Arabidopsis thaliana: one gene and its partners. The protein of the gene in region 1 interacts with the protein of each later gene in a pairwise test. Each region holds a gene or a part of one and is shown on either strand. Other genes may lie near its edges.

Region 1 (10,191 bases):
AATTGCAACTCGAGTATTTTAAATACCTCATTAGTGGGATAAAAGATGGGAGCGTCATCAACCAAAGGCCTGCAAGCTTCTGATGGATTCCACCTAGCAGTTATCTTCAAATACGCAACAAAACGATATCATTCATGAATCAGATTCATCTGCTCTTGGACAATCAGATAGCTAACACAACAAACAATCTAATAAGATCCAGATGAGATTGCTAAATTCTTAAGACCCAAGTAAATAGATTTTGCTTAATCTAAAACAAATACAATAAGAACGACTCTCAGAAAGATGAGATCTTTGAAGGAAGATACTGATAAGCAAAAGCCACGAACTTAATTAAAACTAGAATTGATTGGATTTTCAGACTCAAACGGGTTTAGCACATAGATAAGCCATCAACCTCTTTACCCAACCAATACTTTGCTAGAAACCCAATTAACTTACTTTAGGACTAGAAGGAGTAGAGTCAGGTTCAAGACTACTCTCTCCTTTAATCGATTGTTTCTCAGAATCTTCCTGCAAGAAATAAACACAATTCCACATTCAGAAACTGCAACAGTGCTAATTGAATCTAGCAAACATGCAAATTAGAGGTTACAAATGGAGGAGAAAGCAAAAAACACAAATCAAAGAAGCAAAAGGATAAAGATGAGAAACCTCCATAGCCACAGACTCTGCTAGAGATGCAAGCTGATCCATTTACAGTGAGATTAAGTTCACAAAGATCGATACTTTTAACCCGTGACCTAAGGAAGAACAAAGATCTGTTAAATAAAAAACAAACCCTTACTTGATGAAATGCAGTGCCGTTTTCGAAACCCTAAAAAAACCCAGAACGCATATAGATTTGTGTCTGGAAATAGAGAGTGAGATGATAAGTGTACCTTCGTGAAGGGGCCAAGATTCGGAACAAAAGCTTTTCCCAAGATTGAATTTGACTCTCGAATTTTATTTGTAACGTATAGTATAAATCTAAAACCTTTTGGTTAAATATCTGTGAAAGAGGTTTTTTTTTTTCTTTCCTTCTTTGATGAGTTAAGAAAAAAAAAACTTAGAGAAGAATTTATTAGGTTAACGATTAAAGCAAGTAGATTTCTTGGAGTCCGATCTAAGAAAAGGGTTTAGAACATAAAAAGAAGAAGCCGCCAAATGTGATTTTGTTTTGTAATAAAATCTTCAATCCATTTATACCAAATAAAATTCAGTAGTTTTATAAACAGAAAATTAAAAAAAAAAAAAAACTGAATTAATCTTCAAATTAAGTAGTTTTGTTGATTTGTATATCTGAACTAAATTAAACAGTTATACTATTTACACTTCATTTTTACTAACCAAAAAGAAAAGGATTTCAATAGTTATGATTATTGATTCACATTTATTAGAGACAGTAGGATCATTATTTACAACACAAAAATTAAGTTGTATGGGAACTACAATGCGATAGAACTAATACTGATTTGTTTTTTAGTCGGTTGATATAATTCATTTTAATGTAAAAAACTAACAATTGATTAGAATTATATTTCCATAAATAGAAGAAGTAGTTGAGAAATAAAAGGTATAAATTATCTTGAATTGGTCTTATCTAATCATCTATTGTAGATTTTTCTCATTGTTTCAATGTACTATATACTTTGTGAATTTTTTTTTGTCATTTTAGAATTATATAAAAAGATAAGAGAGAAATGAAAACTTGAATACAAATGTGAAAGTGATAGAACAAAGGAGTGCATTACACAATTTGCTAGTGACTTGAGAGACAAACACACAAAGTAAGCCACAACATCTATAAAATGGTCACACACATGTTGCTGAATTTTTGGCCACGATGTTTTAGACGACGGAGGTTGTGGTGGCGGTGGTGGAGAAGTTTTTAGAATTGATTAAGAGGCGGGAAATAGAGACGGCGGACACGAGGAGCATTAGAATGACTCCGGCGAATGCTGCGATGATTGCTCCTGCGCCGTGATCACAGTAAGTGGTGAACCTGTCGCAGACTTTGTTCCACTTGGCGTGCTTGTTTCCGTTCTTCCCTAGCTCTGCCACGAACACCGCCGCGTTTGCAGCCGCAGATACTAGTGTTGCGTTTAGCTTTTTTTCCAACGTTTTTTTAGATTATCAAGAAACCGTTTAGCTTTTTTTCCAAACGTTCAAACTAATTCAATTGAAATCAAACCAGTAAATTGATTTGAAAACCAATGTTTATACCATGTCAAGAATGGCGATAGAGAGGAGACGAAGACCTTTGTACTCCAGTTTCCGGCTGAAAATCTGAACCACAATCATCAACAAGTTGTGGAAGCTCACCATTACATTAGCTATAACAAAGAACCTGTAAAACCAAGAATCAATGTTAATAACTCAAAAACATTTTGCTTTCAATATGTATCGAATCGATTTCGTATAGGGTTTTACTCGCTTACACAAAAGCCGGTGTGTGCTGAAACTTAGCGGTTAAAGTGGCTTTAATAGGAACAGTACCAATGGTGGCCACAACCAAGGTCTTTGTCTCTTTGTTTAGTGACATTACAATGGCTGCAGCTAAAGTAGCCATGAATGCAAATATTCTCAGCCCCAAGAGTAGTTTCCAGCTCTTTGTGGTACCACCAGCCACCACAATCTTCTCTCTGGCCATTGTTGATGCAGTGAGTGATCAAGAGAAAGTGATGAAACTTTGTGTCAGTGTTAAAGAGTATTTATATGGAAAGAGTTTGGTCTTGTTGAGAGGTTTTGTCGGATCATCTAACTTTAATGTTCTTGGAGGGTACTGACTGATTAGGTTATGGTTGTTGTGACAAGATTACTGCAAAATAGATTTCCAGATTTCAAGACTTGCTCTAAGACAAGTCTTATCTACCAAAGCTAAGACCAGTTCTTGTGACATGTAGCATATCTCATCCACGGAAGAGACAGATTTCAAACCCAAATCTTAATGATTGGTTGGTGTATCAGATTATATTCATACATACATTAACAATGCCACAAGGGCCGATGGAGTTTTAGAAGTCAACAAACAGAAGAGAAGGTCAAGTTCCATGGAGCAAAAGAATGCCAAATTATTCGAGCAAAAACCTTGTGTCTTCAACTTTGAATAAACCCCAATAATGCAGTAACAAGAGATTCTGATAAGCTTTTTCTCTTGGGTTAAAAAGGAGTCAAGAGATATATAACATACAGTTTTTCCGCGTATGTAATATGCACAAACCAAACGCAGGAATAGAGGAAGAATTTGGATTTGATCTTTAAGATCTCACTCATTCTTGATTACTTTTTGTCAGTTGTCACTCCAACAACAACATTGCTCACCTGCAATTTGTGTGTTTCAGTCACTTTGTCATATCTTCCTCTAATGTGGTAAATAAGAAGAAGAACACAGGTGATAGAAATACTCACCAACTTTCCGCTTTCATCAACGGACATGGGGTTTTCTACAACAACGGTTTGGGTCTGAGAGGGTGGTGTTGACTGTTGGTAAAATGAAAAATCGATGAACAGAGTAAGTACCAGTTCCATAAGAATATACAGAACTATTACAAATTCATAATTTGATAACTCACAGTTGATGTAGAGGGGGGACAAGCTGTTCCATTTGGCCGGTTAGTTGGGAGAGGTACCCTTCCATTGCTCATCTAAGGATGCAAAATGAATCAGAAATGAAAATTTCCAACAGAAAGATCTCTATACTTAACTCAACCATGCAGAGGTGGCTTAATAGATAGGAATAATCACATTAACGTTAGTTACGAATTGACAAACAGCGCATTTGACGGATGATGCACCGTAAGGATACATGAGGGTCGTCCGACAATGCCCACAATTGATCTGCGCAACCTGACTGGAAGGAGCATGGGCAACCTGATTGGAGTGCGCTGTCGATTTCAAAAAAGACACGCACAGATTCAGAAAACAAGCAATGTTAATGCTAGAAAAATCCAAGAAATACTAATGAACGAAGTAATCAGCAATGTTCTTAAGCAGTCATGGATAAATGATAATCATACAGCTAAATGACAACAGCTTAGACGCTAATTAAAGATAAGAATCTAATGGTAGATCAAACAAAACAATAATAAACCCTACTAGCTCTAACAAGTAGTTACCTAGTCCACCGGGACCATCTAAAAGCTTTGTTTTAAGTACTTTCAGCTGCTTTACAAATCCCAGATATTTTCAGAATTCAGATTCATATACATCTTTGGGAAAAGTGGAAATACGTTACGTAAGCATCATCTCCACAGAACAATGTTATCAAACAAAAGTGTGAAAGAAGATTCTAAAGGACTAAAAGACCTTATAAAGCAATATAATACATGGTCTTTAAAAGGATTGATATGGATGTCACGATATTATTAATATACCTGGCACAAGGTTCGTAGTTTGACAGCAAGAGCATCTTACGCTACTAGCCCCACGCGTATACATAAGCATTGTTCTACAACCACCACATATAATGTGTGCCATGTCTGTATTCAGAATCAGAACCCAAGTTATAATACAATTGCAGAGCATATTAACCTCATCCTCAATTCAAATTCAACAAAGAAATCGATACCGTGAGGTGGAGGAGGAGGAGGAACCATGTTGATAGTGTTACATAACGCACAACGCACATTAGATGCTCCTCTAGGATACATCAATAAATTCCTACAACCATGACACACCAGCTGGTCCTGCATATCTGCTACTTTCATCCAAACACACACAAATTGCTTCAAAACAAGACCCACACAGATGAAACCCTAAACATTTCACAATACTTAGTCATTGCAAGGAAGCAATTGGAGATTCAAATACCTAAAAACTCACCTGATTAACAAAAAGAGCTGATTTTGGAACGAAACCCAAATCCAATTCAAAGCCAAAAACTTCTGCATCCAAATCAAAACAAGAATTGTGTGTTGAATCAAACAAACAAACAAGGACAATGATGAGATTACAGAATTGGCGAAAATTGAAAAAAAGGAACAAACTTTGGAGCTTGTTCTTACCGATTGGAGAAGGGTAAGGAATCGAATCCAAAACCCGCGAAAGCTAGAGCGATGATATGCAGAAAATCCAATCCAAATTGAGGAGATAGACAATAGATTTCGATTTTTCTCTCTCTCTATCTCCAAAATCTCAATGCCCGGATTTATCTCTCTGTTTTTCGTAATTTACGCTTCTTTTTTTTTTACATGACGCGTAAGGGTTTTTTTCTCGGTCATAAACGCGTATATACAAACGCAGCGATTGGCTTCTGCTAATTAAATATGAATTTTTATGCCAAGCATACGTCCATAGATCAATTAATTATGGGTAAAAATATATTTTCTAATTTTCTGCAAATGGTGTAATAATATTAAATTATTTTTTGTCTACCCCTTTGAACCAATGAAAATTCTATAATATTTGTGTGTTAAATGAAAAATCGTACATGCTGCCAAACAAAAAATTCATAATAAATAAATGAAAATCGCATATAAACTTTAATCAAATGTTCTGAACATAACGTCCCACGTATGTTTTCGTTTGCTTATTCATATCGGAAGAAGAGTAATTTGCGCATTTCATATTACAAATTGGGGAAATGGACAATAAATTGGAGAGCAAAAATCATAGCCATCTAACCTCACACACTTTTCTTTTTGTTAGGTACCAGAAATATCAAGAATCACTGAGCTAATTGTATTCTCATGACTTTTTGTGGTCAGCAAATGAAACTGGTCTGCAATAGTTTTTAGAAGTCTTTATCGGTTTATTTCTCATGTGTTTTGTCAGAAATTTCTTAGAAATTTTTGTCTTCCAAACTTGGGGAACTAAATTTGTTTGGAGTGTAAGAATACACGGTTGAGCTTTTAGGTAATACACTTGTTTTTGAAAGGTATAATGAATTTTAAAAAAATTACTTTATCAACATTTAAGATTTGGAGACAATTTTGAAATCACGTTTGAAAACGAATTTTTTGGCCAATTGTTCACTTTTCTGTCGTTATTATACTTCTGTTACCTTGTGTCTATTTGTTAATTTACTTGTTTTATTTGATTTACTCCATTGTTTTAAAAGTTTTACTGGTTTGTTTTGTTAAATTGATATTTTTGATGGTATTAATTAAGTTTAGTACTACATTAAGAAAAGAAAAAAAAGAGTCTAGTACGTATGTACACACCAACCAGATATGTGAACAATTATGGCGTCAATTTATCTGGAGCATATATACTTTTATATGATGGTTTAGGTTGAAGGAGTTATTCTAAAATGCATTAACATCATACATAATCGGTGTAATGTAGTGTCCTTAACTATTTAAATGAGTGACATGTGACGCAAAATGCGTGACGTACGCAAATATGCAGCATATTATATGCTTGTGACATTATTTTAAATAGTTCATGAAGTTACAATGATAAGTCAGAATAAATTACATACTAGTGGCTAGCAAGAAACAAGTGGATGATGTATAATTTGGAATATGATTATTTCTGTTTTATACTGGTGGGTTTTGGAATAAGAATACTATAAATTTAGAAAAAAGGAAAGAAAAAAAAAACATGAATTATAAGTGATATACGTACGTTGAACGAGTTGTAGATTCTCGAAACTATACACGAAAAGACCCTGGTAATGATTTCATTGGAGAGAATAAAGCTAAATAGCTAATTATTGCAATTCCCAAAACGTTATATAAAGAATAGCAAGTAAGGGTTCATAAGGTAAGAAGCAAAACATTTGATTGAGATACTTGAGATCCAAGATAAATATGTCTTTAAGTCGTAGAGATCCTCTTGTGGTCGGCAGTGTTGTTGGAGATGTTCTTGATCCTTTCACGAGGTTGGTCTCTCTTAAGGTCACTTATGGCCATAGAGAGGTTACTAATGGCTTGGATCTAAGGCCTTCTCAAGTTCTGAACAAACCAATAGTGGAGATTGGAGGAGACGACTTCAGAAATTTCTACACCTTGGTGATCTTCTCTCCTTCATTCCTCTTATCTTCATTGATTTAGTTCCTCGTAGCTCACTCTTTCGTTTTCGTAAGCTCCATATATTGACGAAGAAACCTTAGATATATCCAAATTTAAGCGTAACTAGATTTGATCATTCTTTTCTTTCGTAGCCTCATCTATATACCTGCTGCGTTTCCTCTAACTTCTTGCATGCATAACTGTTATTGGTTTGATTATTATTTTAAATCAATTTTGAATCTTTCTCGATTATATATATTACGTTTTCAAGAGACGGTTAACTTGATTTTGTTTCGCTTTTATTTTTATTTTAGTTTTTTTATTCTAGGATACATACCTTTAGAAAAGCATAAATATCTTAATTGACACTTATTTTAACGACTTTTGAATCTGAATAGTAAAGCCAGTATTTTTAGATACCCTTATATTAATGGAAAATGTTACTATTACCTTTTTCTAATTTAAGCTTCTTCGTCTTTACTTCTTTTTCTATTAACTTTTGGTTAACTTCTTCGTCTTAATGTGTGTTATCACTTTTCAAGAGTTAAAAAAAAAAAATCAAACTCATGATTTAATTTCTTGATTGCTTTAATATATTCATAATCGATCTTCTCTCTTATACGGTTGTTGATGGGTTTAATAAAGGTTATGGTGGATCCAGATGTGCCGAGTCCAAGCAACCCTCACCAACGAGAATATCTCCACTGGTTTGTATCATATCTCTTCATTTCATTTAACTTAACTTTAGATCGTGCATCACACTTATTTTCGAGTATAAATAGAAAACAAATAGGTAAGGTATATATGGGAATTAGAAAAAGACTTTAAAATTTAGAGATTCAATACATATCTCAAGTGACACACAAAAAACGATATTTTAGATTTTTACTAATAATAGAAGGGGACATACAGAATCAACTTTAAGAGAGCAGCAACTTGTCAAGAAAAAAGATGTCTTACGTATACATCCAACATAGAGACTTTAAACAGGAATAGAACATGACTTTGTGGTCAGAGTTAGTTTTTGTTTTAGTGTGTGTGTGTGTCATGTTATATCATAGCTTGCACGCAACAAACGTCTATTCTTCATAGTCTGACCTTTTCTACATGCTTTAGACGAAACTTTCAAAAACTTTGATGCATGCTTTGTTTTTTAGTCGAATTTAGTTAACTATCTGCAGGTTGCACTGCACCATATCTTTAACTTTAATGGATAATACTCTCGTTACAGGTTGGTGACTGATATACCTGCCACCACTGGAAATGCCTTTGGTAAGTTTAAGTAACTCTGTATAGATACATTAGGTAAGATAGATAAAACTCATATCACCAAGCTTAGGCTTTGAATAGTGTTAGCATGGAGCATATATATTCTTAAGAAGATATCTATTTTTATATAGCCTTCTTAATTTATATGTATGTTGCAACAATCAAATCTTTAATCTATATAAAATAAGCGACACAAAACACTTACCTAGTGGACAAATTAGGAAGGGCTAATTAATATTTGTGTTTATGATTGTTTATCAGGCAATGAGGTGGTGTGCTACGAGAGTCCACGTCCCCCCTCGGGAATTCATCGTATTGTGTTGGTATTGTTCCGGCAACTCGGAAGACAAACGGTTTATGCACCGGGGTGGCGCCAACAGTTCAACACTCGTGAGTTTGCTGAGATCTACAATCTTGGTCTTCCTGTGGCTGCCTCTTACTTCAACTGCCAGAGGGAGAATGGCTGTGGGGGAAGAAGAACGTAGATGCGTACCTACTTACGTTAACTAATAATCTAATCGTATAATATTCCCTTAATGAAGTATTTAAGCATCTATGTCAATGTAATAAGAATTTAAAGATACGAGCTAAAAAAAATGATGCATATGCTGACATCGATGTAAAGTAGTTTACACTTTTAATGTAATAACTAGGTTTTAACCCGCGGTACACCGCGAGACTATTTTGTTTTTTTAAGAATAAAAATATAATTTGTTTAGTCGATTAAAAATATATGATTTAATATTTTGTATTTTCTGAATATACAACTCTTATATCTGTATATTATTTAGTATACAATTACTATGTTTAACTTTTACTGTTTAAAATATAAGAACAATAACGTACAGTTCATTAAGTTAAAATCTAGATTATAACTAAATAATTTAAAATTTAATTATATTTTTATTTTATAATTGTTTTGTTTAGTATTTAAGATAATATAATTATATTTTGATTGTTATATTTAGGACTTCACACGTGGTATACCGTTTCGTATTACTATCGACTCAAACCCGTCCTACCATCTAATCCCGTTCAGTGAAACTAAACATATCTAATGGATTTCACCCGTGCTATACCGTCTCGTATTACTGTCGACCCAAAACCCGTCCTACCATCTAACCACGTTCAGTGAAATTAAACATTTTGTTTCTGTTATTTTTGTTTAAATAATACTTTAATTTAAAAGATCTATAATTTAAATTAATTTAAAAATTTATTTCAAATGGTTATTTAATTGTTATAAAATCCATACATTATAATATTGTAAACATGTCCCACCATCTAATCCAGTTCGGTAAAATTAAACATTATTACTTTTTGTTCTAATAATATTTTTATTAAAAGATTTATAATTCAAATCAATTTAAAAGTGTTCTTTTGAAATAGTTATTTAATTTTATAGATTTCATATATAATATATATTCTTAACGTTTTTTCGTTAAATATTCTAAATATTTTATAAACTTTAAATAACTATAATATTTATCTTTAATAAAATATAATATTAATAAAGTCCTAAAATTTCTTTTTTTTAAAAGTAATTAGAATTGATGGAGATATATTAGATAAGGAAATGCTAATAATTAAGAATATTAATTAATTGATGATAATTAATGCCAATGGCATTCTTTGTAAATAAGTTCCAACTTGAGGATTTATTTCACAAAATGGTTGCAAAAATGTATATATAGATTGAAGGGAAGAAAGAAATGTGTGTGAGTGTGTCTTTATCTAAAAGAAGTAAGAAATGTGTGTACGAGATTAGGTTACGTACGTGGCTTTCTAGTAAAAGGATCAAAATAAAAAATGAATTTTAGGAAATTTGTATTTCATATAAAATTTGTGGGATGCTTGTCAAAGTGCACTTCGTAAATACACAAATGAAGAAGGTGATTACCTACAATTTTGATTTATTTTATAAATATAGTGTTATATTCTTTTCTTGATTGTGAATCTTGTATCTAATATGGTTATTGAGTAAATC
Region 2 (10,191 bases), on another chromosome or scaffold:
TGCCTGTAAAAAATGTTAAGTAATTATATTATAAGAAGTCTCTAGCTGCATATCTGTACTCGCTTCATGGGCTTTCAGAAGCAGGGCCAACTACAAATATAGTAAGGAGATCAATGTAACAGAGTCAAATACATAACATAACGCATGACATGCCTGATCAGTGATGATTCCATTAGCTTGTCGGCCGAGAAAAGATCGGGTTTTTATTTGACTCCCGGAAGAAGCCGTCCTCTCAGGCTCCACAGTATCCTAGTTGTCATCAAAGGGAACATGTACGAAAAATTTCACAACTCGCAAAGAGAAACATAAAGCAAATATTAATTTCGCTGAGACTATTCCATACCCTTGGCCGCGCAACAGGATGCGGAATCCTAGAAGATTTGACTGTTTGCATTGCTTGCTCCACGGCTTTAGTTCCCCCGATAAAATTTGGGTGTGAGGTGTTTATATAATCCATCTGCAAATGGTAAACTTAAATATTTTAAACTAAATTTAAAAGAGGCACTAATCAATAAAATTGAGAGTAATCAATTTTCTTGAACTTAGAACATGGTCCTACTCCACCAGTGTGACAAAAAAAAAAATCAGTACGCAATCTAAGTAAATTTAATAATACTGGCCATTAGATTCATGATTGTGTGGATCTTAAATTATCCATACATACCTCCATTTCAATAAGATCTCGGATCATTGCCTGCGAAGGTTCAAGACCTTCTCGCAGAAAGTTCCCAATAACCTCATCCATGCGCTTTTGCAGGACTGGAAACCGCTGTAACTCTTTCATCATACACTGATGACTAATCTGTACATAATTTTTCAATTTAAAATTCATGGTCATGTAAATCAACAGTTAGCATCATAAAGAAACGCAAATAAAAATAACACCTTTACTAGCTCATCGAAGATGAACCTAGCGCACTGAAGGCTGGGATCTAATAAACGAGATATTTGCCTCCTGACAAGAACTTCAAATGGAACCTATGCAGATGAGAATGAAAGCAAGAGATACTAATCAGAGTTGCTGTAAAAGTAAAAAACTCAAGCAAAATAAGTATGTGGAAAGAACAGATAAGCAAAAAAATGCTCCCACATGCTTAGGGATATAGATAAACCTACATCTGGAACAAATAATGCAGATCTGGGACCAGTTGCATTTTGTATTGCAGTCCGAATATCATCAGCTGTTAAGTCTTCACATGGATCAACCTCCTTCAGAGCAAATTGAGAGAAACTAATGAGTTTAAAATCATTAAACCCCTATCAAGTAGCACTGACAACATCAGTAGGTAAAGATCTCTATACAACAGAGAATATTCAGATCGATTTTGAGTAATACAGATCAGATGCTTGAAAGATGGACGGATATGAACTAATATAAACACTGACTATATTTACAACTGAGCATAGTTCTACTCATACAAGAACTGCAAACATGCCACACTTCCAAGAACTGAAAACCTGAAACGAACTGTCTGCCTTCCGTGCAAATAGCCCCACTAACTAAACAAAGATATCTACACACAGTGATTACCTAACTAAGATATAGCCTAATGCTTAGCGAATCAAATAATATCTTATAAATAGAAAGTCATTCATACGAGTATAGGTTTTATATCAATAGCAACAAAATGAATCTCCTCCATTGAAGAACACATAGGTGTATAGGTTCTATATCAATAGCAACACAATGAACCTCCATTGAAGACCACAAATGATATCCCAAATTAAATTATGAAAGTATTACCTAACTAAGATATAACGTAATGCAAAACTTGGAAAAACAAAATAAAAGGCAGTTATAACTGAGTGAAGATCAAGGAAAATTATAAATGTAGCAAACCTCTAAGCTCTTAACAAATACTGATTGGAAAATGTAGAGAATTCTTGCTCCACCCGAGAGCTCAGATGTTGACATTTCTTTACTTTTCCCTTCCAGGGTAGAGGAGTATGCTGTTATAAATAATTAAGCCATGGTGAGGACCAATACCAACCTAAAAAGTATAAACTAACATCCATTGTCTAAACTGAAACAGAACCATCTTCAGATATTACCTTCGCAGTATTTTGTAATAAAACTGAGGAGAAGAGCTCCTTGACCACCCTATGAATTTCGAAACAGTTATAAACCAGAGTAAGCTGTAAGTTAAATAGTCACATGTTGTAGGCATATTTTATACGGAAATGAAAGAGCATATCTAGATATTTAGAAAAAATTTGTCAGAAATATTTCCCTACATATCTTGACATCTTCAAACACTAACTCTATAAATTACCGATAGTTTGTTTAACTGAAAGTAATCAGAAAAGGCTCCCAAGAATATCAAGAAGAGGATCACAAAAATGAATAAAATTATATTCAAATACGAAAACTGAGCAAGAAATCATACAACGCAAAAAAAGCAAATAGCAATGCCATCATTGAGAATGGATGGTATATATAAGGCTAAAACTGGCCAAAACCCACATACCCTAGACTCTGTTATATCCCCATAGCTCTCATACTCCTTTGCTGTAGCAAACAATGCATTGTTGATACGTGACTTTAAACTAGGAAGCAGTGCCTTGATGTGTTGAACAAGGACCTGCAAAGAAGGGAAAAAGAACTAGCTCCCATCAGACAGCTCATAATTTTAGTAATAATATTACCAGCTATGAAACTTATGAGATGCCATCTTTAGAAAAAGGACTACTCCATTCACAGAAAAAGAATCCACCATATGAATCAACAACAATAGTGAGAAGATGTCGCTGAGTTTTTCAAATATATACACACTAATGTCCTACAAAGATCCTAGCTCCTCCTGCTAAATGAAATAAGAAACATGAATGTTACATACAAAAGCCAATTTATTGTCTCAATTAGAGACACATCGGAAAATCCAGAAAGTGTATTCCTTATGACACTCGTGTCTTGACTGCATAACAAGATAATCATAACAAAGAAATTAGACGATCTCAAGACTGCAGATAATACCTGATTTAATTTCTTTGCCAGTTGAGGGACACCCAAACGATCTGTGAGACCGCTGTAAACCTGTTTATTAGAAAACAAACCAAAACAGAAGATATAAGCAGAAGAGTCAAGGAAACGCTATCAGAAAACAAATCGAGAGAATGATGCAGTCTTACTGGACGACTACGAAAGAACTTTTCCTCTGCAACAAGAGCATCCTTGATGCTACGGTTCATCAAAATATCCTGTTAAGGAATTAACACCCACATTAGTTATTGCCTTGCGTAGAGGGCAGTGGCCACATAGTAAGAGCAAACGAAAAATGAATATAGAGTAGAATGGTTTGGTAACACTAAAAAAAAGGTCTATATTACAGGTAGTATCCAAAGGGAAAAGAAGAGTCATAGAGATACAAATTGTGATAGCAAGAAATAAGACACACAAGCACAAAAGTAGAAGTGGTCACAGCTCATAATGGTAGGACAAGAACAATATACATCATAAGTAAACATGCGTAAATTTTTTGAAAAACAGGGTTTACCTCTTGACTACGATTTACAACTCCCACGTATCCAAGTCGAAGAGGAATTGTTTTTCCCAGAAGGTGATTCCGAGCATCAGTACCTCTGTCCATAATATCCAACTGAATCAGAGAGAAAATAGAGCAATCGTGAGAAATAGAGTAGTTTGCCATCACAGCTAAATCTAAAGCAAACTTATGAGGAGAGAAATAGCACCTTTGTGATTACACCTATGGTTCTATGACCTGAGAACAACAAATTCATATGCAAAACGAAATGTCACTATGTAGTATACCAATGAAACTGATAAATTCTCAATCGACTTGCTTCCAAAGACTCACCATCAGGATCAGCATTTCCTGCGATTTGTAATGCATCTGAATTTGCTAAATCAGTATTAGCAGGGCTAACAGCAAGTATCAAGCAACTAGGTTCCTTAATGTAAGTCAAGATCATCGTTCTTATACGCGCTTCGATATCACTTGGCTGATCACCAACAGGAACCTTAGTGATACCAGGAAGATCCACAAGACTAATATCCAAAACATTAGGTGAAAATATCTTCAAACCAATCGGAATATCTGATACACCTTTGTTCTCTCCTGATACTCTATTAGTCTCCGCCTACAAACAAATTGTCATATTCATACAATTAGACGATCATCATCAATAGATTCTATGACGAACTTAGAAGAAGAGAATGAATAAACAAACCTCAATCTCACGGCGAATCTCAGAGAAATCGTAGATACGTCTAACAGGATCGTGGTGAAGAAACTCGCCCCACTCTTCATCGGATCCACCATCAGAGCTAGGTTTCGTCTGAACAAGCTGGAGACGGAGAGGTCGGCGCGTGCAAATATCATTGCCACGAGGAAGAAAGTCACGGCCGACGAGAGCTTCTAGAACGCTGGATTTGCCACTGCTTTGACTTCCGACGACAGCTACTTGCGGAAGAGCGATCGTCGATTGACTTCCTAGCTGAGCGAATATGTCTTGGAGCTTGTTCACAATCGGAATCACGGAGGAGCCTAGTGGCGTTACGGCGGAGGCCGACGACGGAGGGAGATCGTCGACGGACATTGATTTGATTCGATCTAAAGATGGAAGTAATTTGAAAAAGGGGTTAGGGTTTTGAGTAGATTTGTTGCAAAGAGGTTAAAGAAGATCTTTCTCGATCACGCGCCGATTAAAGTAAATCAGAGTTAATAATATCTCTAAATATTTGTGTAATTTTCGGAGTTATTTCTTTTTGAGAAATTATGTAATTTTATGTTATTTTTTAAAGGATAATATATCATCTTATTTGAGATGTAGATTGCACTATTTTTTTAAGGGAGATGGGAGATTTGCAAAACTATCCTTATTCTAATAACCTTTTGTAAAAATGTCCTTTCCTGAAGGCCATTTTAAAAACTGCCCCTTTTAATATGGCAAATGACTGTCTTACCCTCTGAATGATTAGGTTTCACGTTCGTTTCACAAACTTCTTCGTTTTGGCACAAACTTCTTCGTTTTCCTCTCCGATTTCACTCAAAATCGCCGGCGAATTTTCTCTCCGATTTCACTCAAAATCGCCGACGAATTTCCTCTCCGATTTCACTCAAAATCGCCAACGAATTTCCTCTCCGATTTCACTCACAATCGCCGACGAATTTTCTCTCTGAGAAACCCCAAAATCGCCGACGAATTTCCTCTCCGATAAACATGTTCTTCGCTGAAGGATTCAGATCATTTCTCTACGACGCAAACAATCCCCAGAGATATCGATAGATCCGACGGTAACCGTTTTTATAATCGATTTTATAGTCGATTTTATAGTCGATTTTATAGTAGATCTGACGCTGTTTCATAACATGTTTTGCAGATGGATTCAGAGAGTGAAATCCTTGCATTGCCTGAACAAATCTACAGAGAAGGTGAGGAATCTATTACACTGGGAACCGTTCAACAATACTCGGATTGGAATTTAGTTAGTAAAGTAGAGGAAGCTTTAGGCGAGTATTTATTTCAGAAGATTAGAAGTTCGTTTCTTGGTCCTCTAGTTGAATTGGGACCAAAAATGAAGGCTAAGAAGGGAATCAGATTTTCTGGAAAAATCTTTCACTATCTCATGCAGCAGAGAGTGAAAACAAAAGGATCAACTCTTTGGTTTAGAGTTGATTCTCAACCTATCCGTTTCTCCTTGAGAGAGTTCTATCTCACAACAGGTAATAAAGTTTTACAATCGTTTTTAAAGCTTAATTAACTGTCGTAGAATGATTTACAAGGCATTTGCATAACTGTTTGCGTAGTTTACAATCGTTTTTAAAACATAAGTAAGTGTCATAGATAATTTACAAGGGATTTTAAAAGCTTTTAAAAGGGGTTTACTTCATTAACAATCGTTTAAGAAGCATAAGTTAGTAGCATATAATGATTTACAAGGGATTTTAAAAAGGGTATGCATGGTTTACAACCGTTTTTAGGCATAAGTAACTAGCATAGAATAATTTACAAGGGATTTTAAAAGCTTAAAGAAGTGTTAAACACGTTTACAAGGGATTTTAAAAGCATAAGTAAGTGTCTTAAAACGATTTACAAGGGATTTTAGAAGTGTTTGCATAGTTTACAATCGATTTTAAAACATAAGTAAGTGGCATAGAATATTTACAAGGGATTTTAAAACCTTTTCTAAGGGTTAAACATGATTAGCAATCGTTTTTTAAGCATAAGTAAGTTGAATAGAATGATTTACAAGGAATTTTAAAAGCTTTTAGAAGGGTTAAACATGATTTACAATCGTTTTTAAAGCATAAGTAAGTGTCATATAATGATTTACAAGGGATTTTAAAAGTGTCTGCATGGTTTACAATCGTTTTTAAAGCATAAGTAAGTGGCATTGAATGATTTATAAGGGATTTTAAAAGCTTTTAAAAGCTTTTAAAAGTGTTAAACATGATTTACAATCGTTTTTAAAGTATTTACTATAAAACCTGTAATAATAGTCTCTACACTGTCTTTTGTTCATACAGGAATTCAATGTGAACCTGTTCATAGGGAACTTCGACGAAAGGGAAAAGATCCTGTAAAAGAACCATACTTTTGGGCTAGTAAAGGATCCTATACTCTTGGTGATCTCGAAGATCGATTGTTTTTAAAACCTAAGGAAGGTGAACCTGCTGTTGAAGATGAAGAAAAGTTGTGTCTTGCTGCAGTAGTGTTGACTGAAGGAATTCTTTTGACACCATATGGAAAAGAGAAGATACCTTTGCCAAGATTGCAGCATGCTTCTGATTTTGAGATGTACACAGCCCAACCGTGGGGTAAAGAAGCATTCAGTGTTCTATCAAATTCAATTCTGAGAATGGACGAGAAAACTTGGGCAAAAGAGAAATATGATTTGAGAGGATTTGGACTAGCGCTAACAATATGGGTGTTGAGCGCAGTTCCAGCATTTGGTGCAGCATATGGAGTTAAAGATAAAGAATTCCAATCTGAATATCCATTGATATTGAAGTGGAAAAGCACTACTACTCCAGAGTTTTTCAAGATCGTAAACCTTGTAAATGATGTTTCTGAGGTAAGCTTTTGTCTATTTACAGAATTCTTTAAATGGTTTTTAGATTTGAAGTTCTGCTTTCTCAAGATTTGTAATGTTATTGTATCTTCGCAGATGGAGGTGAATACAATTATTGGAAACCCAGAAGAATTCAAGTCTTTAGTTCCTGATTTCCACACAGACGACATAGAATTCCAACATATTTTGGGACTTGTTAATATGGGCTACAGATTGAAGAAAACTGAATGGAATACAAGATGCGTTGATGTTTGTGCTGCCCTTGAAGAAGTAGGTCAAAACAAAATCAATAACAAAATATCTGATAGCGAGAAGCTTGACAGGATTTTGACAATCCTTGAAGATCTTAACAAGAGAGTCGAGATGATTGAGAGGATTTTGGACATTAGAATGGAGGAAAAGAATAATCAGAGATCTGAGGAAGATGAAGAAAGAAAACAAGAAGATGAAGGAGTAGAAAGACAACCAGAGGTAATTGTAAATGTTCTTTAAAAGCTATTTGAAAGGAAATGTTTTACAATGTATTTTAAAGGTTAAATACGTAGTAAACCTTTACAATGTACTCTTTTTTTTCGCAGGCTGAAGAAGAAGGAGGACTAGAAAGAAAAGCAGAGGTAATTGAAAATCTTTACAAGCTATTTTAAAGGTCTACTAATTATATTAATGATTGACTTATTGTTTTTATTTTGTTGCAGAATGACAACGAATCATTTGAAGATTCAATCCGAGAGCCAAACACACAGAATGGGAGCTATCCGGGTGATGATGAAAACACCCAACGTGATGTTGGTGATGAAGTAGCTGAAGAATCATCAAAAGTACAGTAATTTATATCTCTAAAAGTCTTACAAAAATGATTAGTATCCTTTTTATAATTTTACATTCTGTTATCTTTTCAAGGATAAGTCTCATACTCCACGATCCTCTACACCAAATTTCAATAGGATAAGAAGAGAGTTAGCAGAGGAAGAAATGAGGTTAGCATTTAAAAAAATTTGTATTATCTAACCAAGTGTTTATAATATTTTTTTCAAATCTTTAAAAGTTTATCTTTCATGCAACTTCAGAACAAGAGAGTTAAACCAAGTGTTCATGCTGAGGATAATCTTAAAACAAGAAAACAGGTTAGTATTTGCAACAGTACTGTTTTTAAAATTTTTCAATTGTCTTGTTATGATATTTACAAGGGATTTCAAAAGTACTTTTAATTGGTGTTTTTTACTATTCTAGGTGCCGAGAAAGAGGCAGAAACAAGTTGATAGTGCTGATGTTGATGTTCCAACAAGGAAAGAGGTTAGTATCTAATTTATTATGATTTTGAAAATTTTGTTTACAAGGTATTTTAAACATCTGTTTTTTTTATTCTTTTTGATAGGCAAAGAGTAAGAAAAGGAAAATTATTGGTAATGATGGTGATAACGATGATAATGATGGCGACAATGATGATTTTCAGCCCGCTCCGCAAAGAAAGAGTAAGCGGGGTACGGTTCCTTCCATTCATACCCAAGCACCTTTCACAGCTGAGAAGAAGAAGCATCCAATTTTGCATCCATTTGCGAAAGTTGATGCCACAAGACTTGAGAAATTGGCTGAATGGAAGAAGTCAAGGAAAAACAAGTGAGTTTTGTTAGTAAGATAGAGAGTTCTTTTTAATAATGGAAGAAGCATCATTGTTGACTGTTTTGTTGTTGTAGGCCACTATCAATCGCGGGAAATATTGTAGATACAAAGTGGTTTACAACCCTAGAGACGCCAGGAAAAGCAATAACAACAACGGTATGTCTAAAAATCCTTGTAAAATTGGTAACCCATGAATTACATATAGTTTTTAAAGCATCATTAAGTTATTTACAAAAGGGATTTTAAAAAGGGTTACATGGTTTATAAACAATTTTAAAAGATTAGAAAGTGGTAAAGAATGATTTACAAGGTATTTTAAAAAGGATTTACATGACTTGCAATCGTTTTCAACGGATTAGAAAGTGGTAAGGATTGATTTACAAGGGATTTTAAAAGATATTAAAAAGGGTTTAATTGATTAACAATCGTTTTAGAAGCAGAACTTAGTGGCATAGAATGATTTACAAGGAATTTTAAAAGCTTTTAAAAGTGTTTAACTTGATTTACAATCGTTAAAAAGCATAAGTATGTGGCGTAGAATGATTTACAAGGTATTTTAAAAAGGGTTTGCATTTTTTACAATCGTTTTTAAAGGGGTTTTCTAATATGATAATTTTTATTTTTGTTGTGTTTAGCATGTTGATGCAGCTTTGGAGTTGATGAAAACGAGGAAGGAAAGCAATCCAGAATTATTCAAAAACAAATCAGTTGTATTTGTGGGATCGTCTTTCTTAAATGTGATTGATGAGTCATACATGGAGTTTTTGGATAACAAAGAGGGATTTCAGTTTCAGTCTGAAGAAATCAGTAAGCTGATAATAGAGGAAGAAACCAAGTGCGTATCGGTTCCTTTCTGTATCAAAGGAAAATGCTAGGTTGCCTTACTCATCCACTTGGAACAGAAGACAGTTTGTATATGGGAATGTGCACCTTCTTATTTAATAGAAGAAGTCAAGAAAAAATATGTTGCTGCCTACTCTATAGCTATGCCATACATTGTTCGGAACATCCTCAAAAAAGAAGACATGGATGTCTCTCCATTTAGCATCAAAGTCCTGACCACTTTTCCTCAGGTAACTTCTTTAAATATATCATAGTCTTAGAAATGAATATTCCGTAAGTCTTGACTTCTATAACTTCTTTGCTTAAGTAATTCTTTTGGTTTTTGGTTGTAGGCTCCTAGAAATGAAGAGTCTGGTATCTATATGCTGAAGTTTATGGAATGCTACTCAATGTATACCAGCCATTCAAACTTTGAAGGGAACATAATTCAAAACGTTAGGAATAAATTGGCTGCTGACATCTTCACTGAATTAGGGTCAGTCACTTTGTAGAAGTAGCAGACTTCTAATCAAAAAGTAGTGGAGTATAAGATAGATTTATCAGCTTTTGTTTCTTATTTCATAAAACTTTGTCATTTGAATATTTTATGAACATCTGTATGGAACAAGATTTATGAAGTTTATTTAGTTCAACTCCTGTTTTACAAAATTACTGTATAATGGTTGTTTGGGTTAACAGGTGCTTTGATTTGAATG
Region 3 (10,191 bases), on another chromosome or scaffold:
CACAATTGTCGTGTGTCTAAACCAATTTTGGTTTTTGGATCTCACATTGTTTTCTAGAGGTCGGTCACACATTTCAAAAAATTTGAAAGATTTCATGTTATAAGACTAAGAATTGTCATTTGGAAATTGATTGTATCACTATCAAACAAAAATAGAGAATAGATCTTTTTTTTTATTAATAATAATTATATGAAGAATATATATTTCAGAGTTACATCTATTTTAAATATAATATTTATTTAGGAGCTTTAGCTTTATGACATTTGCAATGACATTTTTTTTTATGTTTTTTGTTGACATCTACTTCTGAATCTATCATTGAAGGTGAATGAGTAGGAGGTCTATGTTTATGACACTTGCAATGACATTTTCTTTTATATTCTTTAGTACCGTCCATATATTCTTGGTTGAGTACTCCTTCTTCTGAATCTAGCATTGAAAGGGAAAGATTAGGAGGACATTTAATGCTAAGTCCTTTCTGGTCTATGCATTCTATGTTGGCTCCTTCTTTTGAATCTATCATCGAAGGAGAAGGAGTAGTGGATCTATAACATTTGCCTACACATTCTTTGCCTTCACTAGCCTCGATTGTTATGCTTTGCTCTTCAATTTATTTTAAGAAAAAAATGTCAAATTAGTATACAACTGGTATTATCATGACATACAAGAATCTAAGAAAAAATAAATTCATAAATATAATAGAACATAGATTTAAGCAAAAATACGCTTGAATTTAATTTAGAGCCAGCATAAATGATCACAAACTGCTAAACATAATTGGTTAAATTATGAAAAATCTTGGAAATACTTTCACCAATTTTTGAAATACCAATGAAAATTCTCATTTACTTACGGTCCTAAAGTAAATGTTGGTCATAGCTAAACAATGTTTGTATTTGGATACTTGATGAGCTTGGTTTGTGAGAGTACTAGCTAGTCTTGAGGCCATTTATATATGGGATGGAAAAACAATCTTTTCACTTTTTAAAAAAAAATGTATTTAAAATTTCAGATTTTGTATATATCTTGATTTTTAGTTTTTAATTTAGACACTCATTCAATGATCCAAGATACATAGTCTATTTTTCACAAATACAATTACGATAATAAAATCACAGATTTTTAAAATACAATTACTATAATAAAATCACTGGTATAGTATCCTATTGGGAGTTATTTTGTTTTTTTTTTTGTTTTTTGGCAAAGGGGAGTTATTTTGTTTAAGAAACAGTTTTATTTTTTAATTTATTTGAAAATTTACTCTATATATTAAAAAAAAATCAATGTAGAACAGATTTTTTTCAGTTATAACTTTGTCTAATATAGAAAAGACTTTGTTTTCAGTTATGAGTCAGTCTTATGATATGGAGTCTATCTTCCACAAAGAAAAATATTATATAATATATATACAGTTTTTAAACTGTGTTTTACCTTGTATTATATTCTAAAAAACAGCTTTTTTATTTACTTTGTTAAAACTACTTGATTTAATAATGTTGAGAAGGCAAAACAAATATATATCACACTTTCTCTATTGAGCTATAACTCATATCTAAAGTTTTACTTTACATCATAATCATCTTATGCATAATTTAAGTAACGGATTTTAGAACTTGGATCAGATGAGAAGTGTGTGTACTAATAATTTTTATTATTTGCATATCTACATATACATTTTTGCAGCCTTTTTGTGAAATAAATCTTGGAGTTGAGACTTATTTACAATGGCTGCCACTAACTTTTAATTATTGGTTTTTTTGGGTAATAAATTAATTAACAAACGAAAAATATTCCAAATATATTCTAATCTCATATGTCACGCAGATATCTCCAAAATTTGAATTAGATTTCAGCAACTATTTAAAACAAAAAATGTTTGACAAACCAAAATACAATTGAAATCCCTTAAAATGAGCAAAACACACCTAAATACATTCTTTATCTATACAATAAATCTTATTTCTCCAAAATTTGAGCTAGATTTTGGCAACTATTTAAAACAAATATTTGTTTGACAAACCAAAATACAATTGCAATCCCGTAAAATATTTATTTTAATTATATATTTAAATTAGCGGTGTACCGCGGGTTTTTTTACGGGATAGATTTGGCGGGACGGTTTGACAAGACGTTACTTAATAACAATTGTAAACTATAAAATAAAAATATTATATAAATAGATTTAAAAATTTGCAACTTTAATATATACTAATTTAAAAAATAAATTGTTCTCACGGTATACCGCGGGTTAAAATCTAGTTCGTTTACATATTTGATTCTAATATATCTAACGCCTACGATATGGTGTTATGTCAGTTGCATTGACATTTTACTAGAACAATTTAAATTAAATTATGAACAATAGAAAAGTTATATGGATGCCCATTATACGGCAATTAGTAGATCCTAGAAGATTTAATCTCTAACATAAACTCTAATGTTGTATTTCAATGTATATGTCATATCTTGTATAATTGATTGATAACAGAATGCACAATTCCCTAAAATCTCTTTGTTCACAACAAATTAGTATATGTATCTTGATGATTTATACTGCACATATATGATTATATATTTAAATATTTATATTTAATATACTGGTTCAAGTTGGAGATAAAAAATTTTAATTTACAAAAATAAGTAAATAATCTATTAACCCTTAAAATGTACATGCTAGATTCTAGAACGATTAAATACCATCTAGCGATTTATTAAATATTGGTAATTAATCTGCATTCCATAAATGTCAAGTTAAACGTACGATATTTACTAAAAACTTGTGAAAATGGCATACTACTTAGTAAAATTTTAAATGTAATATTGTGGAATTAGTATTGTATTAGTTTACCACTATCCAAATTCAACTTCGCATACGCTTTTATTTAGATAAGACAGCTTTTTATATACATTTATTAGCTAGTACACAAAATATGTGCCCAATATTTGATGTGCAAATGAGAGAAAAAGTCAATACATCTATTTGTAAGCTCCGCTCTTAACTTAAACATCATCAAGCCCACTTGGCCATGACGGACATGCCACCAGCACCAAGCAAAACGGCAGCATATGACTTTAATTGAAGCTTGATGCTCCTTTGCATTTTTTGACCCATAAAATCGGCAGCTAGAAGGTCAACTAAAGCCATGTAGATGAGTAGTCCTGCCGAGGAAGCGTTGAGCAACCCAACTGTTATAAGCGATTCAGGGCTATTCTCTTTGTATGTTTTAGATAGTGCCATCCCTAGAACCACTCCAAAAGGCGTCGTCACCGCAAAAAAGAAAGCCATCACCGCCTTTTTAACCCACCCGTACTCCGCCTACATGTATTATCAAGTTCTCATCATATATATGATTTCATATCAATTCATTCAAAAGCACGACGTTTTTCAAGAAATCAAACCATGTGGAACTTTTTGTGTTTAAACCAAGAAAAGGAAGAAAAAAAAATCATGTGGAATTTAGTTTATAGAACCAGAATGGATGGGAGTAATTACTCGGTCCGACTAATAAATTAAGTGGAAAGGAGGAACTCACCTGAAGGATGCAACCGCCGAGACCCATGCCTTCGAACATTTGATGGAAGCAAAGCGCAGCGACGAGTCCTTTGATGGTGCAAGTATTGTTAGTGTCTCCTACCGATAGTCCTATCACTATCGACTGCACCACTATTCCTAGCTCCAATACCTATTCCATTTTATTCATTTCAGCTACTCACTTATTAAATCATAATTAGTGTAAATGGTTGTCACTCAAATAAAAGCAAAAGATGAAATATAATTAGTGGAATAAATTAAAATGAAAAATTACTTGTTCCTTTTTTTTTTAACAAAGAACTGTGTTTTATTTTTATTTTTCTAACTAACACAACAAACAGGGTAACAATTTTGTTTTACACTATGCAACCTACAATTAAAATTTGAGTTACCAGTTAACCTTAGAAAAATGGCATATTAATGCCTTCGTATGTGATAATGTGAATAATCATTTTTTTCCTATAAACGAACCAAGTTATAACAATTTCACTTAGCTTTTAACACAAATGTTTCTCAATGTGAGCATTTATAAAAAAACAATTTATCTGGTTTAATGTTAAAAAAGCATTTTTGTAATTAAATCAAGTTAAGAGAGTTTTATTTTTACAAAAAAAAAAAAAAACGAGAGTGAAGGAATACTAACGATTGCAAGAATACGATACCGCAGAAGCTGTAAATAAGAACCAAGCTCTTTATCATTCTCTCCATGAAGATTGTGAGGAAGAGTATGGCTATGAACATGGCCATGAACCTGTACGTGCCCTATCTCTTGGTCAGGAGTCTCAACGGATGCTACGTCAGCACGTAGATCTTTCCTTCCTGACTTGGTGAAGACGCTGGTGGTAATAGAGTCAACCATGAGCGTGAACACGGCAGACATCATGGCTACAAAGCCGGCGAAAGGAAACTTGTGCCAGGGGTTATCGTTAAGACAAGGAGATGAAAGCATCTCGAAAGAATCAGGCAAGACATGCATGAAACCAGTGGAAAGGATGATTCCGGAGGCGAAAGATTTTACGATGAGGAAGTGAGATTTCTCGGGTTGGAAAGCGGGAATTGATCGGGCAAAGAACGGGAGGCAAACACCGATTAGACTAGTGATGAGAATTGAGAAGATTGATAAGAGTTTGAGATCTAATGCTTTGTTTTTGTCTATACATGAGTAGTTGGATTTTGATTGGCAATCTTTATTGGATTGAGAGAGAGCTCCCGGGAAATGCGAGATGGAGAGTAGGAGAAAGAGAGCGATGGAGGCAGAGAAAATGACATGAGATTTAGTCATCTTTCTATTTGTTTCTTGTGGAGTTTTTTGAGTTTGATACAAAGTACATTATGTCTTAATCTTCTTATATAAGACAAGACTTGAACCCTCGACCTCAATCAAAGTAAGTGTCGACATTACTAATTAATCAATTGTCAACATGTTTTGTTTAGAAGATATTGAAATACTCAAAAAAAGTCTAAACTAATTCTAGGCATACACACACATATAAATTTCTTGAATATGTTCTCACTTGCAAAATAAAATAAATCATGATAGTAGTTCTTGGTTATAACTTATAAAGATAAAGATATATATAGAGAAAAAGAAATTCAATTTCATATATATAGTCATTAAATCTTTAGTATTAAATAAAATGAACTGTAATTAGGTGTTATATTTTTCTCGTTGTATACGGGAGTAATAAACTAAAAGTAATCAAAAAGGTTAGATATTATTGTATAGGTCAAATTTCTTGACACTTGATCAAACTGTATAAATATCTATGTTGGGTTTAATATTACATGTTGAAAAACTTTACCTATCATCATGTTACCCACGTTATACAAATATCGGCATATGGATAAGCCGTCACACTCCACAGTCCATATATGTACTTAGTGTACGTTTTTAAGTACATGATGTAATACAATAATAGTATTCTTTTTTATTGTCAAAAAAAATTATAAACCCTAAGTTGACTTCTAACTTTTTTAAAGCTGCTAATCCATGTGGATGAGGTATCGGAGGAATGTTTCAACAAATGAACATTGATGTGATTGTCTTACAACGACATACTAAGCTATAAACAAATTGATCAGCTTTATCAAAAAAAATTGATCATGGGTAGAGAAGGATACATAGAGGTTTTGAGCTCGGCTTGACGCGAGACCTAAGACTCGTACGAGGAATGACAGACTTGTCAGTTTTGTGTAACCAACAATATCATAAATATGTTAGGATTTAGTAAAGAAGAACACAACAATTGAAGCGGGAAAAAGAAGACAATGCCAGCTCAGCTTGATACACGTGGATATGCAGGACCACAAGACAAAGAATACCCGTTTTGCTTGTCCGCTAAAGCAATGGTGTACGGAGGAGACAACTCTTGTCTTGTGTGTGAAGGCAGAAGAGCCGTTACGCCTGAACCAAAGCAGGCTACAAGACAAGCTTGGAGGCTACTGCAGAGGAGCGTGTAGAGGAGAGGAACCGAGAAGGATCCAGAAGGAGACTAGGTTAAAATCTCTTGCTCTATTTAAGTTGAGCATTGTAGAGAGAGAAAAGTTAAGAAACACAGAGGCACTTAATCGAGAGTAAACTTGTATTGGGTGTTCTTGGGGAAACAGAGAGTGAAAGAGAGTGAATCTTAGTTAGCTTTGTAAGGGGCTGAGAGGGTGAGAAATCTCTTTGTAAATCTCTAAAGGTTGATATAGTGGATTCCGGGAGAGAGTTCCCGGCCCAGACGTAGCACCGTTGGTGTGAACTGGGTTACCATTGTGTGTGTGTTCTGTTCTGCATTTCTCATTACAAAGGTTCTGTTTTTGGTTCTAAGTCGAAGTTGGTTCTAAAGCTGAAACGTTCTTGGTTTGTGGTGTGTTAATCTTCACAAAATATATAACTTCAAACTTTAAAAGAAGGAAAAAAAAATCGGTGAAATTTATTTGAAAAAGCAATTTGGAATAGGTCGAACAGAATGTTATAAAAGCTCGTTGTTGACATATATATAATTCGTACGAATGTACTTCGCTGACTTTACTTCTACTTACATCATACAGAATACGAATCCTTTTGATAAAAGTTATTAGTCGTGTTGATTTCGAAATCGCACAACCACTGTTATTATACAATCACTAATCCAAAACCACCTCATTCGTTGTTAAAGCTAATATAAATTCATCCTACCAAAAAAAAGCTAATAAAAATTTATTTGGAAATTGCAACGAAAGATCTTAAAAAGTTTAATGTTTTATATATTCGGATTATGTTATGATTGGTATATGAATCGTTTTAGTTGAATTGGTATATAATTTGGTGGTCAAGTAGGTTTGCATAAAATTTAAATACTAGCTAGCTTTATAAACTTACATTATACATAAGCACATGCCTCTCATAACATATATTGGATTTTGGCCTTTTGGTCGTTTGAGTCAAGCAATTAAAATTTTATTTGAAGAATAAATTTAAACTATCAATATTCAATCATGCCAGACGAGTCGTTAAAAGTCAATGGAATTATTGGTTGATAAGATGAGATATTTTCGATCGTTCTTATGACTATCTAGATATGAAGATGAGTCATACAAGCTATGAGTTCAAAAACGGTGTAATTTTGCCTTGTTTGAAAGGACACAACAATTATGAAATTGTGTTAGTTTAATAAAGGTTTATGAGTCTTTAAGTCAAGACGACGTGCATAATCATATGGAATGAACAAATAATTAATCTTGTAAGCTTAATATTGTTACTTTGCTAGTAAGTTCTGAATTTAACTTTGACCAAAACTAAAAAGTTTTGAATTTGATATTCACTTTGTTATACGCATATTTTAGAATAGCAATGAAATTGGAAAATTTAAAAGTAGTATTGATTTTTTTTTTTTAATCAAAGGTTTGTTTTCATTCCATTAGAGTAGCTAACACATACAAGGATAAAAGGACTCTAAGATCCCAAAATTTAGAACAACATAATAAAGGGTATACCCCAAAATTACTAACATGAAAATAAGAGAGTAGATAGAGTTAATCGACAAATTATCTTTTGAGAGCTTTGAACCAAAAGCTAAGGGGCTTTGTAGAACATGTAAGGTCAAGGTTTGTCGAAGTTTCTTCCAAGAGCGAGTCATTGGGTGAACGAATTGTTAATGTCGAGAGATGAAATATCGTTGATGAGGGGGCTAAAGATAAGCTTCTCGCCGACACGAGGAGAACTACACAAAATAGTGATTTAGCAACTGTTCGGGCAATGGTGGTGGTGTCGCAGTGAGGGTTTAAGGGCATTTGACCAATGTTGAGCAAGTAAACAAACTCGCAACTTACGGTATTTGGTGAAGCTATTATAAGGGTTCGCACATGGAGAGAGTGTAAAGCCGTAACATAATAGGTGGATCCTCTCTCATATTGATTATGACTTCGATGATGCTAAATCACAATTTGGTATTGTGCATCCGTTCACAAAAGTTAATTAAATCATTCGAATTGTATGTTCTTTGGCGACCCGTACGATACTTGTTTGTTGATAATCCACACACATGGGCTGAGGAAAGTTTTAACCTACGGCCTAAGTACTAATCACATTCTTTAATCGAACTTAAGGCCCAAGTGCTAAATCACGACACATTCTTTTAATTTCATCAGAGAGACAATAACCGTAACAGCGCAACAAATAACAAACTTTAAAGACAAAATGTATTTCCAAAGAGCAAACGTGAAACAGAAAGATCGTGGTCATAAAGACAACATCGTGGGTTCAAGATGACTAGATAAACATGAGTTATGGACCTTACGGTTTTCCAAAAATCCATTTTTTAACCATTCATTATTGGATTCTAAGAATTTTTACTAATTTCTTAACAAAATCCAAAATCTCATTTCAATGGGTTTTTTTCAATTTCCTCTACGAGATCCTTTTTTCTTTCAATTTTCCATTTGATTTTTTTTTTTTTTTTTTACTTTTGTTACAAAATCCAAAAACCAAAAACTAAGGCCATGAATGTTTGTAATTTTAAAAATGGTTTTTGGATTTTGGTTTTTGGTTTTTAGTTTTTGATTTTCTTGGTTTTTGTTTTTGGTGTAGATTTTAGTTTCTTAAAAACTTGAATGGTAGTTTGTTTAGATTTTGGTTTTTATGTTAATGGATAATATTTTTGTAACAAAAAAATCTAAAAATAAAATAAAAGAATGTAATGGATGGTTTTATGATTTTGGTTTTCTTTGAAAAATTGTTAAAACACTCAAACACTAGATTCTCTATTTTTTAGAAAAACTTATTTTTTTCAAAATCTTGAATGGATATAAAATAGATTTTGAAAAAAACTAAACCAAAATCTAGTTTAAAAACCACACCCATTCAAGGTCTTAAAACTAAAATATTTATGTATTAGTTTTAAATTACAAAGATAATAAAATTGAGGACAGTTGAAAAAGAAGAAAAAAAAGTTTGTATGTATTTGGAAGTTATTTTTCTCAAGTAGAATACTGTGAAAGACGATTCAACATCCCTTATTTTACGGTTGTGTCAAGGAACATTCGAGAACTTTTTTTAATAACTCCTTAAGGGACAAGTTCTCTCTGTTTTTCTTTTTTCAATAGCTTCTCTGACACTTTATTCTTTCTTTCTGATATTATAAACCTCCGATTTGGTTTAGTTCAAAACTAGAAGCAGCAAAATTCTGAACACGTAAAGCTTTGTTTCACTCAGTGTTTCCCGATCAGATCCAATGGAGAGAGGTGGTTATCGAGGAGGTCGTGGTGATGGCCGTGGTAGAGGTGGCCGTGGTTATGGCGGAGGCGGAGGAGGAGGAGAACAAGGTCGTGATCGTGGCTACGGCGGCGGAGAACAAGGTCGTGGTCGTGGCTCAGAGCGAGGCGGCGGAAATCGTGGTCAAGGTCGTGGTGAACAACAGGATTTTCGAAGCCAGAGTCAGCGGGGACCTCCGCCAGGTCACGGTGGCCGTGGGACGACGCAGTTCCAACAGCCTCGACCACAGGTGGCTCCGCAGCCGTCGCAGGCTCCGGCGAGTTATGCCGGTTCAGTAGGAGGAGTCGCTGGTAGAGGCGCGTGGGGTCGTAAGCCACAGGTTCCGTCTGATTCGGCTTCTCCGTCCACCAGCACCACCGTGGTTTCTGAACCCGTTCGTGGTATATATGCTCAATTTTAATTTTGTTCGAGAACTCTTTGGGAAATGAAATTAGGGCAAATTCATAGAAGCTTATAATAAATGATTAGAACTTAAATTATGAAATCATTAGAGAGATTTATGTTAGTTAATCAATAGCTTTTGATGAATGTTTTATGTGATTATTGTTTAGCTCAAAGTTGTAATTATATTTTTGAAATGTGACAGTAGCTGAAGTTATGAATCTGAAGCCATCGGTGCAAGTTGCGACTTCTGATAGGAAAGAACCAATGAAGCGACCTGATAGAGGCGGAGTTGTGGCTGTGCGGCGTGTTAATCTATATGTGAATCATTATAAAGTGAATTTCAATCCTGAAAGTGTTATAAGACATTATGATGTTGAAATCAAAGGAGAAATTCCTACCAAGAAGGTTTCGAGGTTTGAGCTAGCTATGGTTAGGGACAAGGTGTTCACTGACAATCCCGATGAGTTTCCCTTAGCTATGACAGCTTATGATGGTCAGAAGAACATTTTCAGTGCGGTTGAGTTACCTACGGGGTCAT

What was found.
Region 2: the proteins of LSD1 (region 1) and DRP3B interact in binary tests that used the Arabidopsis thaliana proteins (3 or more experiments, as listed by UniProt).
Region 3: the proteins of LSD1 (region 1) and ZIP10 interact in binary tests that used the Arabidopsis thaliana proteins (3 or more experiments, as listed by UniProt).

Annotation. Positions count from the first base shown.
Region 1 is NC_003075.7:10,999,509-11,009,699, reverse strand, and holds LSD1 (LSD1 zinc finger family protein), read right to left. Parts: upstream 5,184-10,191; 5' UTR 4,986-5,183; intron 4,866-4,985; 5' UTR 4,804-4,865; exon of another isoform or gene 4,689-4,803; coding exon of another isoform or gene 4,674-4,688; coding exon 4,550-4,673; intron 4,461-4,549; coding exon 4,356-4,460; intron 4,271-4,355; coding exon 4,239-4,270; intron 4,144-4,238; coding exon 4,098-4,143; intron 3,867-4,097; coding exon 3,727-3,866; coding exon of another isoform or gene 3,706-3,726; exon of another isoform or gene 3,627-3,705; coding exon 3,555-3,626; intron 3,463-3,554; coding exon 3,391-3,462; intron 3,304-3,390; coding exon 3,262-3,303; 3' UTR 2,912-3,261; downstream 1-2,911. Other genes in the region: JMJ14 (JUMONJI 14), read right to left, coding at 27-104, 442-513, 655-696; AT4G20390 (Uncharacterized protein family (UPF0497)), read right to left, coding at 1,831-2,088, 2,206-2,329, 2,421-2,632; TSF (PEBP (phosphatidylethanolamine-binding protein) family protein), read left to right, coding at 6,735-6,935, 7,581-7,642, 8,167-8,207, 8,466-8,689.
Region 2 is NC_003071.7:5,955,459-5,965,649, forward strand, and holds the start of DRP3B (dynamin related protein), read right to left. Parts: upstream 4,651-10,191; 5' UTR 4,558-4,650; coding exon 4,189-4,557; intron 4,099-4,188; coding exon 3,816-4,098; intron 3,720-3,815; coding exon 3,691-3,719; intron 3,597-3,690; coding exon 3,495-3,596; intron 3,199-3,494; coding exon 3,130-3,198; intron 3,035-3,129; coding exon 2,975-3,034; intron 2,583-2,974; coding exon 2,469-2,582; intron 2,102-2,468; coding exon 2,053-2,101; intron 1,951-2,052; coding exon 1,841-1,950; intron 1,532-1,840; coding exon 1,442-1,531; intron 1,210-1,441; coding exon of another isoform or gene 1,207-1,209; coding exon 1,117-1,206; intron 979-1,116; coding exon 886-978; intron 803-885; coding exon 665-802; intron 458-664; coding exon 344-457; intron 250-343; coding exon 154-249; coding exon of another isoform or gene 150-153; intron 4-149; coding exon 1-3. UniProt on the Arabidopsis thaliana protein: Involved in the control of mitochondrial and peroxisomal division and morphology.
Region 3 is NC_003070.9:11,172,549-11,182,739, forward strand, and holds ZIP10 (zinc transporter 10 precursor), read right to left. Parts: upstream 4,815-10,191; coding exon 4,176-4,814; intron 3,684-4,175; coding exon 3,534-3,683; intron 3,317-3,533; coding exon 3,011-3,316; downstream 1-3,010. Other genes in the region: AT1G31270 (uncharacterized protein), read left to right, coding at 5,801-5,881, 5,919-6,110; AGO2 (Argonaute family protein), read left to right, coding at 9,229-9,649, 9,856-10,191. UniProt on the Arabidopsis thaliana protein: Probably mediates zinc uptake from the rhizosphere.